3 linked regions of the Cricetulus griseus genome follow. The protein of the gene in region 3 binds, or shares a complex with, the protein of the main gene of each other region. Links are inferred from orthologs where the notes say so. Each region holds a gene or a part of one and is shown on either strand. Other genes may lie near its edges.

Region 1 (3,649 bases), about 110 Mb from region 3:
GTTAAGAGCACTGGGTGCTTTAACAAAGGATCCAAATTTAATTCCTAGCACCCATAAGGTGGCAGCATACAGTCATATATAACTCCAGTTTCAGGCAATTCTGATGTGCCCTTCTGGCTGCCGTGGGTACTAGGAATGCATGCAGTGCAAAGACATACTTGGAGACAAAAGACCCATACATAAAATACTAAGAAAAGAAAGACTATGCTCCTCAGTGTTTCTGTTCAGAAAAGTGTACAATTTTGCTGCTTCCTTTCCCATTTCCCTCCTCTAGATGAGGAAAGCCAGCTCAAGGTGCACTTCAAATCTAGGTCACAAACTCAACTATTTTTAAACTTTAATGTTTGGTGGGATATAAGCCTGCTCAATCATTTATGTAGCTTCACAATGAAATTGAACTGACATTGCTGGTGGGGCATGCCTTTGATCACAGCACTAGGAAGGCATAAACGGGTGGATCTCTGTGAGTTTGAGGCTAACCTGGTCTGCACAGTGAGTTCCAGGATAGCCAGGGCTACAAAGTAAAACCCTGTCTCAAAATAAAATAAAATGAACCAACAGCCAACTATTTGCTTATTTATATAGAAAGAATATTTATCTGATAGAAAATAATAGTTAAAAATATGTTTTACCTCCTCTTCACTTTCTTTCTCTTCATCTTCTGAAGACTCTTCCTTATTTTTCTTCTCATCTTCATCACTACTAGATTCATCTGACAAAATTTCAGGACATTTGGTTTGCTTTGACTTCCTTGTTGTTCCAGAACTGTTCCGTTCCTTTTTACTACCTTTGCTTGAAGATTTTTTGGATTTTGGCAATGGCTGTATGTATAAAAAAAAAAAAAAAAACAAACCAAAAAATGTATTAACAGTACCATCAATAAGGGTATTTCTAAGTTAATCAACTCCATTTGATAATTACTTATCAACTCAAATTCTGTCAGAAAGTAATTACAGGCTCAGCAGAGAAGTCATCTTTAAATCTGTCAGGCTACCTAAAACTGCATTAGCAGTATTCTTAACTGTCTTGTAAACCCCTGGCAAGATCATTGCAAAAGGTACTGTTGGTTCTGAAGACAAGACTACAAGTATGAATTGTAATGAGTTCAGGTAGTGTTTACATTTGATCAAGACAATATTTGAAATTAGACTTAATATATTCCATTTTTATAAGCACTAAAGATTCCATAACTAGGAGATTCTTGCTTTAATCAAAGGAGTGGAAGGAACTACGAAGAGAAAATAAAGCTTAACCAGCAATTATATACCCTAAATTTAAAAAAAGAACTGTACCACCTCTTTCAGTAATGCCAAGTTCTCAGTGACAACAACCTTCAGTATGCAATAGATGTTAATTATGAAATGAGGCAAGAAATAGGTATCTTGCTCTATGCTTTCAGTTAAACTGCATTTCTTATCACACGAGGAAAAAGATTTGATCAACCAATGAATTTATTTTTAAATGCTTTCTTAAGAGTATCTGCAGGGCTGGAGAGATGGCTCAGAAGTTAAGAGCACTGACTGCTCTTCCAGAGGTCCTGAGTTCAATTCCCAGCAACCACATGGTGGCTCACAACCATCTATTATGAGATCTGGTGCCCTCTTCTGGTGTGCAGATATACATGGAAGCAGAATTTGTATACATAATAAATAAAGTCTTAAAAAAAAAAAAAAGAAGTTTGCTAAATTCCAAATATTTAAAAACTATGTAACAGTCCTACATAACTATTTCCTCAACCTATTTCCCTTATTCCAGTGCCTTCCAGACAGAAAAGCCTGGAGCCCTGGTTTATCTTATGTGACATTTAGGTGCTCTTGTTATTTTTTTTTTTTTTTTTTTTGAGAACGGGTTTCTCTGGGTAGCCTTGACTGTCCTGGAACTCGCTCTGTAGGCCAGGCTGGCCTGAACTCAGAGACCTGCCTGTCTCGGCCCTCAGAGTGCTAGAATTAAAGTGAGATCAAAGATGTGTATCACCACCAGCTACTTTTCTTCTTCTTCTTCTTCTTCTTTGAGACAAGGTTCTCTGTATAATAGCCCTCGCTATCCTGGAACTCTGAGATCCGCCTGCTTCTGCCTCCTAAGTACTGGAATTAAAGGCATGGGCAACCACCACCCAATTACTTTTCTTAATCTTGTACAACTCACATTTGAAGAACAATATACTATTTAATTTATATTATGAAAATATTGCAGTTGTCAATGAAAGGCATATTTAAAATGCAGATGACATCACTGACTCACAAAACAATTATCTTGTTAGATTACCATTTCAGTAAGAGAAAGAAAGGAAAGGCTGTTAATAACCAACTTACTGAAATAGTAAAAAACAGATCCTTACTTTGCCAGAAGGCTTTGGATGCATTAAGAAATTCAAGATCCTCTTCACTAGTTCACTGTTCACACCTGATCTCTCTAAATCAAGAACCTCACAGATGCTCTTTAGCATGGCATTTCTAAACCTGAAACAGAAAGCAGGGGGAAAAAGGGTAACTACACAAGATTCGTAAATATTCTTCATGACAGAAAGTCAACAGCCAGCAAAATTGGTCTGCTTTGTCTCCTTAACAGTTACAAGTATTTCCCTGTAGTTTACTCTTAATCACCTGACTAGTGTACAACCATGAGAAAATGTGTATTTACCAACAGTTTAAGTAAAGTCACTGGAAAATTATGTAACTTTCTAATACTACAAAACTCATGGACTTGAAAATTGTTTAGGTTAATGATTCAGCATTACAATGTCTCAATGAAGACCTAATCATTTTTATTTAAATTCTTCATCTATAGGCATCTAATAAATAAAAGTTCTAAAAGTTTGTCACTTTGCTTTCATTATGTAAAATGACAATTTTTCAAAGAAATTATTTTCAAAGCAAATTTAAAACATTAAGAAGAAAGAGTAACTAACAGCAGGCAACAGGAATACATTTCCTTCACACTGTATGAACTCTGAAAGATTATTTATATCTTCTGGAAAATGAAATTTTAAGAGTTTTCAATAATTTTAACTGTCACTATTTACTAGAACATAAAAGATAACCCAAAATGATGCTATGAAAGGCTTGTCAAATCCTGGCACCTAAATTAAAGTTAGCAATGTACTAAAAATGAACAGGTAGTTATTTTTAAATATTAACGGTAAGTTTATAGCATTATCAACCTATCACAATATTGACAAACATAACTTACTTTTTCAGCATTTCTTCCTTCTTTTTGTACTGGGTACTGCCTTTTTCAAATGGAAAGCCACTGAACTGACCCACATTCTTCTTTAATGAGGACACCTGAAAATGTTTTTGTTATTGTTAATGCTACTATCCAATAATATACAAATAAAAAAATTTGAAGATAGAGCCTTTATTTTCAAATCCATCTTCCAAGTTAAAATAATGATTTATTAAACTAAACTGAAAAGTATTTGCCATTAACATTTTAAAAATTCTGCAAACTTTAGTTGGTTCTTTGGAAAGTTTGAATCTAAATGTATTTCCACCTACCAAGTTACCATAATTGTTCCTTAGGTAGGTGTAAAAGTGAATGACTTATTTTTTAAAAAGCAAATAATTTTTAAGTATTCCAAATAGTTAATGCCATTCCCTAATTTATGTGTGTAAATTAGATTGTTGTGCAAACTGAGGTTAGGACATGT
Region 2 (3,649 bases), about 55 Mb from region 3:
GCCTGGTCTACAGAGGGAGAGCCAGGATAGGCTCCAAAGCTACATAGAGAAACCCTGTCTCAAAAAAACAAACGAGAGAGAGAGAGAGAGAGAGAGAGAGAGAGAGAGAGAGAGAGAGAGAGAGAGAAATATTTTAATAATTTTATGATTGATTCAATGTTTGACTTCTATTACCTACTTCATATACTTAAGTACTGGAAGTTGTGTAAAAGCTTCTCAGGAATAAAAGGTTGTGAGTGGAAAGTTTAAGAAGCCCTGGTGGGTTAATTGGTTCTGGTATTCACGCTGCAACATCTCAAAATATTCTCAGAAATACTTGGAACCGGAACGATTTATCATATTTAACATTCTCAATATCATAATTTAACATTCTCAAAGAGTTGGCATGAAGGTAACACATTAATTTATATGAATTTTCTCAGATGTGCTCTGTATGAAAAAAGTGACTAGTAAATCATAAGAAAATGACTCTAGAGTCTCATCAGGATGCCTAAGTCACAGCTGAATATAATTCTGACACCTTGGAATTCCAGAAGCCACAGGAAGCAACTGAGTTGCTCTGATACAGACAGAAGGCATTTTTACCAGAGTCTCTACTATTCTCCTCAGATTCTTCTTCCTCTTCATCATCATCAGAATACTTTTTCTTTGGAGTCTTTCTCCGCAAACGCCTGCTTTGTCTCATTGGCCTAGAAGGATGCCTCCTCAGTCTTCGGCTGCAGAAGTCCGTGTCACTGTCCTCATTAGATGGTGGATCTTCTTCACTTTCATCTGGGTTTTCATCAGACACAACAAACTCATCCTGAGATCTGTGCAGGAAAAGCCACATATGTCATGATGGTGCTCTGTTTGTTTTGTAATGGTACAGTTGGAAGTGATAATCAGTTTTTCATAGTTCCAAACACAAACTGTTAAGTAATATTCCAGTGAAACGTTAAGTAATATTTAAAGACACATTTAGAAAATTATGTCAACTTCTGTCTATAAAACGAATATCCTATCACCTATCCTCTTTGTAAAAGCCACAAAGATAAACTGATGCTGAGGGGCTGGAGAGATGGCTCGGAAGTTAAGGGCATTGGATGTTCTTCCAGAGGTCCTGAGTTCAATTCCCAGCAACCACATGGTGGCTCACAATCATCTGTAATGAGATCTGGCACCCTCTTCTGGCCTGCAAGCATACAGACAGATGCTGTATACATAATAAATAAATACATAAATAAATAAATCTAAAAAATGTTTTTTAAAAAGATGCTACTGTTCTCTGTTGTCAATAATACCTTATTTAAAAATAAAAACGTGATTCTAAATTTCATAGACAACTTCTGTCACTGTCCTCTTTGGGATGCATCTTAAATCCAACATACCCCAAAATGCTCATTATTTCTCCTCTTCTATCTACCAGCCTGATATTTAAATTTTTGAATACAAAAAACCTGTCTTCTTCTTATGGGGAGGAATGGGGTACTTGTACTTGCATGTGGATATCAGCCAACATTGTAGAGTAGGTTTTATCCTTCCACCTGTACAAGGTTTCAAAAGATTGAAATAAGGTTGCCAGACTTTGGTGGCAAACACCTGTAGTTGCTATCTGGTATTGAGAATCATTCACCCATCAATAACCCAATCCAGAGACATATGGTATGTATCCTGACTCCTCTTTTAACCTCACACCATAACCCTTTGGGTATTTTTATTAAAAACATTTTCAGGACAAGTTCAAATTTGTATGCATGATAAAAGAAGAAAAATAGAAAAGACCCACCCCAGCCAGGCATTGGTGGTGCACACCTTTAATCCTAGCACTCGGGAGGCAGAGGCAAGCAGATCTCTGTGAGTTCGAGTAGTCTGCAAGAGCTAGTTCCAGGACAGCCTCTAAAAAGCCACTGAGAAACCTTGTCTTGAAAAACCAAACCAAACCAAAACAAAACAAAAAACCCACTCCATAATTGTTCTTTTTTATGTTCTGGTTGCAGCTCTACCAGAGCATTCTCTATTTCATCCCCATACTCAACTTCTCTGTTTCTTTCTTTTTTTTTTAAAGATTTATTTATTTTGTATGCAGTATTCTGCCTGTGTGTATGCTTGCACAACAGAAGAGGGCACCAGATCTCATTACAGATGGTTGTGAATCACCATGTGGTTTCTGGGAAAGGAACTCAAGAACCTCTGGAAGAACAGTTGTGCTCTTAACCTCTGAGCCATTTCTCCAGCTCCATCATTTCCATATTCTTGCTTTTCAGGGAATTTTCTAACTATTCCTTGACATTTGAACATTGGCGTCTTTGTTCAGGTTGCTTTCTTTTCTTACCCTGCCTCTAAACTCATACAGCTGTTCAAAATACTTATTCCGTACATGTTGATGCTAACATTACTTCTTACTGTGAGGTTTCCTTGACTACCTTAGATGGACACATCTAAGGCTATACCCTATATACCCTAACTTTATTTTACCTAAATTACAGAGGCAGGCAGTGCTGAGTAACTTTTCTGTGTTTTATAGACTTCCTACTACATGTACTACTGAGTCAAAAGGAGAAACTCTTGCAGTAGTTTATACTTGTTTTGCATAGAAGCCGTCCTAACCTAATACTGGATTAGTTACCCCTTACCAAACCTCTACAGTGCACCAGAAGACAGTAATTACTTACTCCTTTACAATTTACCAGACTTTATTAAACTCCACTGATGAATTGGGTAGCAAAAGGTAGTATAGAGAAAGATTTCAACAAATAAAATTTCAATTACAGTTAATCAAATTTAAATGTAATATTAAATATTAAACCACCATAAACGTAGCTTTAATTTTAATCTAAAATGAATCAAAACAAGTAATCTCAGATCTGCTTTAAATGTCCTGAAAAATACAGATTGTCCATGTACACGAAGAATAAAAGCCATAACATAGTTCAACCAAGGCTCTCTCAGAACCTGGCTCTGTGTAAGCTGGCACCTAAAGAATGGGTCTTGCCTGCCGGGTGGTGGTGGCACACGCCTTTAATCCCAGCACTCGGGAGGCAGAAGCAGGTAGATCTCTGTGAGTTTGAGACCAGCCTGGTCTACAAGAGCTAGTTCCAGGACAGCCTCCAAAGCCACAGAGAAACCCTGTCTCGGAAAAAAAAAACAACAACAAAAAAAAGAATGGGTCTTGAGGCAGGCCACATACCCGTCACTGATCTTGAATTCATCCTCACTCTCTTCCTCATCTAGGTTGCTATCACTATCAAGATCATTAAGTCGCCGGCGTTTCTTCCTGCGCGCAGCAGCTGCCCTCTGAGGCCTTTTATTTTCCTTTCGTTCTTCATCCAAAATAGTAGAGATGTCTTTCCCACGGTGACCTGTGATGGTGGAGATATCTTTTCCTCGGCCAACTCCTGAGAGGAAGAGATAACTGTATGTTTACTGAATCTTCCCCAGACTTGTAAAAGCAGCAGCTCTTTCTTTGCTTAATTTTCTCAGAAATATGCAGATTGCTTACAACATCAACCAACAATGATCTAAAGAATGAATTAACATGCATATCATACTGAATATGAGTTCACAACTCCTAGTTGTATATTTTGTATGATTGATGACTTAGTGATGCCTCCCTCCCCCTTTATTTCATTGCCTTTTATTTGGTAGAGGGCCATTAAAAAAAAATCTCTCT
Region 3 (4,163 bases):
TGTGAGTTTGAGGCCAGCCTGGTCTCCAGAGCAAGTGCCAAGATAGGCTTCAAAGCTACACAGAGAAACCCTGTCTCGAAAAACAAAACAAAACAAAACAAAACAAAAAAAAAATGCATTCGTCCTGACATTTAAATGCTACAAGGAAATACAAAACCTCCAACCTAGTTTAACTTACAAAATCCCTGTCAGCACACATTAGAGGTAAAGCACACCCTACAATAATATGTGCTTTCCAACTGCAGACATTACTTTCATAATTTAGTGTCTTCTTTTTCTAACTGCAAAAACTACTTAAGGTCATCAGATACATTAGGCAAGTGTCCAAAACTCAAACTTAATTCTAATTCTACATTCAGCTAACACAGTGGAAAGCAGACTGAAGGTAATAGTCTTAAAAAGACAATAAAATTAACTACAACATTAATAGAAAAGAAAATGAGTGAATACGACTGAGAAAAACAAACTATTGATATTTTTCAATATGTAAAATCGTCAAACTTAAAAAAATGACAGGCCAAGATGTGTGGAAAAGGCTTATTATGGAAACAGATCACACTTCTGTCACATGCTCTATCCAGAAGACGCAGTTTTCTCCTCTGATGAACGAAAATACCACTTATTTCATATCGTAGGTGTTATCTTATTCATGCCTATATTTAAATTTTAATTGAAAGACAGAAACTCAAAAATTAATTTCATTTGGGTTTTAAGTTCTCTTTAGGACTTGTAAATAGAAATGACACCTATTGTGGAAATGTGTGACTCAAGTTACCGCAGAGCAGAATCTGCAAAGCTTAGGCAAGCAAGTGCATCTCTCTGGGGTGAATTGTACATTTACAAATAATTTCCTTCAATGTTTTTGGTGTCCAGACTTCAAGCAGAAATCCAACAATCCAGTTAAACAACTCTACAAGTTCAAAAGACCACTTAAAATCTTATTTAAGGGGCATAAATACATTTTTTGTTTTTGTAGATAGGGTTTCTCTTTGTAGCCCTGGCTGTACTGGAATTCACTCTGTAAACCGGGCTGGCCTCGAACTCAGAAATCCGCTCGCCTCTGCCTTCGGAGTGCTGGGATCAAAGGTGTGCCCACCACTGCCTGGCATCAAATACATTTTAAAATGAAACTTCACTTCAAATTGATGCACTACACTAACACCCCCCACACACACTAAAAGTGATTTCAAAGACTAGCAACACATTATTTCATCCAAGTGATGCAACTGCACCATCATTTCCTTATAGTGTAAATTCTGCAGCAAGGTTCATCTTTAGAGTATTATTCCAATATAAGTGCAGAAATTCTCAGACTGAACTATAGAACAGCACAAAACAAGTCCAAGGCCAAGAATAAAAACTAGAAGCAGTATCTTTGTTCCCAGGCAACTCAAAGCCTGGGAGCATATCCAAGAGACCTGTCTGGCAACTCCCCCATTTTTCCACCCTCTCCCCCATTTCCAGCATTGTCATCATCATCTGGCCCACTCGAGTCCCAGATGGTGGTTCAACGGCGAATTGTCTGAATGGCTTTAACAGGAGGTAATTCGCTGGGCTAGTAGCCCACCGCCCTCCCCCGATGCTCCCATTCATTCATTCATCCGTCCGTCCACCAACCCCTAATTAGATGGGGATCCGGGACAGGTGCTGCGGCTGTCACGCTGGCTCGCTCGCTCGCTCTCCTCCCGGTAGAGCGGGGCTCGGGAGGGGCCTCCCCTTGCTGCAGAGGCAGCTGCGCCCCGCTCATCCCCACTGCGCATTCGGCCCTCCAGCTCTCGCCATTGTTTCTGCCCACGACAGACAGATGCCGCCCCCGCCAGCACCGGGATGGGGCACTGGAGGCCCAAAGTCCCCGGCTGCGTGCGACGCTGACAAACGTCGCGCTCGCCCCGTGAATTCCACGGCGAAGGGGCCAGCTCCCTCGCCCTTCCCCAAAGTTTAGTGCAAACTAAAACCCAGATCCGGGGGAAACAGAGCCCTTCTGAGGGCGTCTAACGCTGGGGGAAACCGGGTCCCTCGACCACGGTAATCAGGAACATGTGTTTCCTAAGAGCGGTCGGCGAGCCGCCTAGGCTACTACGCGGAGGGAAACGCAGAGGTGAGGGAGGCAGACTCAGCGCCAGCGAGCGGGCAAGCGAGCATCCATCTCCCTCCCTCCTTCCCTCCCTGCGCGCACGCCCGCCCGCCGTGCTCACCTCCATGTCGGCGTCCGCGGGGCCCGCGCCCCCCGCACACGATGGAGCCGCAGGCGCCGCCACGGCCTCGGGGCCGCCTTTGTTGCCGCCGCCGCCGCTGCTGCTGCTGCTGCTCCCGCCGGCGCCCGCGGCCGCGGCCTTGGGAGGCGCGCTCTCGGGAGGCGGGGGCGGCGGAGGCTCGGCCGCCGACGACGACGACATGTTCCGGCTGCGTCACCCGCCGCGGCCACGGGCAGGCGCGGCGCGGAGGGAAGCGAAGCGGCCTGGGCCGGCCGGCCTGCCTGCTCGACTCTGGCGCCCGGGCCGACCGAGGAGCGAGCCCCGGCCGGAAGTTCTCACGCGCGGCGGCTCCGCCACCGACCCGAGCCGGCCCTGCCGCGGAGCTCGCCCCGACCTCCTCTTCCGCGGGACCCGGCTCCGCTCCACTCCGCCGGCGTTGACTTCACGGCGGGAATCACGTCGACGAGGGTGGGCGGGGCCAGCGGGGTCACGGAGGTCAGGGAGGGCGGGCTGACTCCGGGGAGACCGAGGGCTGAGGGCAGGGGAAAGGAAAGCGAAAGGTTCTGCGCGGCGTCCGGGCGCCTTCTCCTCGCCCCGCGTAGGTTCTCTTCTCCAACCACCGGGACAGCCGCCTACGCCACCCGCTCTCAACCCTCGCGAGATCGCTAGTCCTCTCCCTCCCCCCACCCTTCAGCGGCCGGATCGCGAGAGCGCATGCGCTTGCTCCTCCTGGGCCCCGCCTCCTCCAGCCCGCCCCCGAACTGCGGGGGGGGGGAGTGGGCGGGGCCTCGAGGAAGCGCGTCGGCGTAGGTTTGCGAAGGTGTGCGTGACGCGAGCTGGGCGCTTCTTAACGGCTCTTCGGCTCTCGCCGCGCCACAGAAGCCGGCCTGGGAGCGGCGCGACAGCCCGGGGACTGGCCTTCACCGTCGCGCCGCCGTCGCTCACGGCCAGACGTCACAGGTTCCCTCCAGTGACGTCGGACGTCCAAGAAAAAAATGCCCGCCCCATCAGCCATCCCACCCTTCCAGAGTTTATGGACTGCGAGCCTGTGAGATCCGGAATGGCAATAGCTGGGGACAAACGATGGCGTGTATTTTTTCCACGAGCATCAAAGAAAAATGTGCGTTTTTGTCTGCTTAAGAAATGTTTGTCAGGGGGCTGGAGAGATGGCTCAGTGGTTAAGAGCATTGGCTGCTCTTCCAGAGAACCTGAGTTCAATTAATTCCCAGCACCCACATGGCAGCTCACAACTGTCTACAACTCCAGTTTCAGGAGATGAACACCAATGCACAAAAAATGAATTTAAATAAATTATTTTTTTAAAAAAGTGTTTGTCAAGTATGTAACGCACGCCTTTAATCCCAGCACTTGGGAGGCAGAGGCAGGTGGATCTCTGAGAGTTTGAGCCCAGCCTGGTGTACAGAACGAGTCCCAGGACAGTCAGGGCTACACAGTGAGGCCTTGTCTCAAAAACTAAAAAAGAAAAAATTCTTAGCCAGGCGGTGGTGACAGAGAAGCCCTGCCTCTAAAAATTATTGGTGTTGCTTCTGCTTAGGCTGTGGTGGAGGCTCTGAGGCCTTGTGTCCTCTCCTGTGTCACCCACCTACTTCCCATTCATGACTTAGTGGCCACCAATATTGAATAAATGAAGTCCTTTCAAGAGTTAACTAAAACATGTTGAATTTCAAATCTCTTGGAATAAATAACATATGTAACACGAATGTTTGAACTAGTCGAATAATTCTCTAATAAAAACTCTCTGGAAGTAAGTGCTTCTGAAAGCTGCAGTTGTAGGTCAGTTGGTGGGATGCTTGCAGAACATACTGCTTGCAAACATCCTGGGCTTGAGCCCCAGCCCATTTTGATCCAGTGTGGTGATGCATGCCCAGAATCCCAACACTTGGGGAAGTGGAGACAGGGGGTCCACAGTTGGCTGCTAGACCAGTCTGGACTAAATGAGATCTTATC

What was found. Proteins that work in one complex are often made in the same cells at the same time.
Region 1: Smarca5 (region 3) and Dek share a complex: the UniProt entries of both Homo sapiens proteins name them as parts of the B-WICH complex. The link is inferred for Cricetulus griseus from reciprocal best matches to the Homo sapiens genes SMARCA5 and DEK.
Region 2: Smarca5 (region 3) and Rsf1 share a complex: the UniProt entries of both Homo sapiens proteins name them as parts of the RSF-5 ISWI chromatin-remodeling complex. The link is inferred for Cricetulus griseus from reciprocal best matches to the Homo sapiens genes SMARCA5 and RSF1.

The regions. Positions count from the first base shown.
Region 1 is NC_048596.1:266,810,469-266,814,117, forward strand, and holds part of Dek (protein DEK), read right to left. Parts: intron 3,285-3,649; coding exon 3,190-3,284; intron 2,460-3,189; coding exon 2,339-2,459; intron 822-2,338; coding exon 633-821; intron 1-632. UniProt on the Homo sapiens protein: Involved in chromatin organization.
Region 2 is NC_048596.1:101,817,195-101,820,843, forward strand, and holds part of Rsf1 (remodeling and spacing factor 1), read right to left. Parts: intron 3,375-3,649; coding exon 3,167-3,374; intron 1,314-3,166; exon of another isoform or gene 810-1,313; coding exon 586-809; exon of another isoform or gene 423-585; intron 1-422. UniProt on the Homo sapiens protein: Regulatory subunit of the ATP-dependent RSF-1 and RSF-5 ISWI chromatin-remodeling complexes, which form ordered nucleosome arrays on chromatin and facilitate access to DNA during DNA-templated processes such as DNA replication, transcription, and repair.
Region 3 is NC_048596.1:156,511,669-156,515,831, forward strand, and holds the start of Smarca5 (SWI/SNF-related matrix-associated actin-dependent regulator of chromatin subfamily A member 5), read right to left. Parts: upstream 2,807-4,163; 5' UTR 2,397-2,806; coding exon 2,196-2,396; intron 1-2,195. UniProt on the Homo sapiens protein: ATPase that possesses intrinsic ATP-dependent nucleosome-remodeling activity.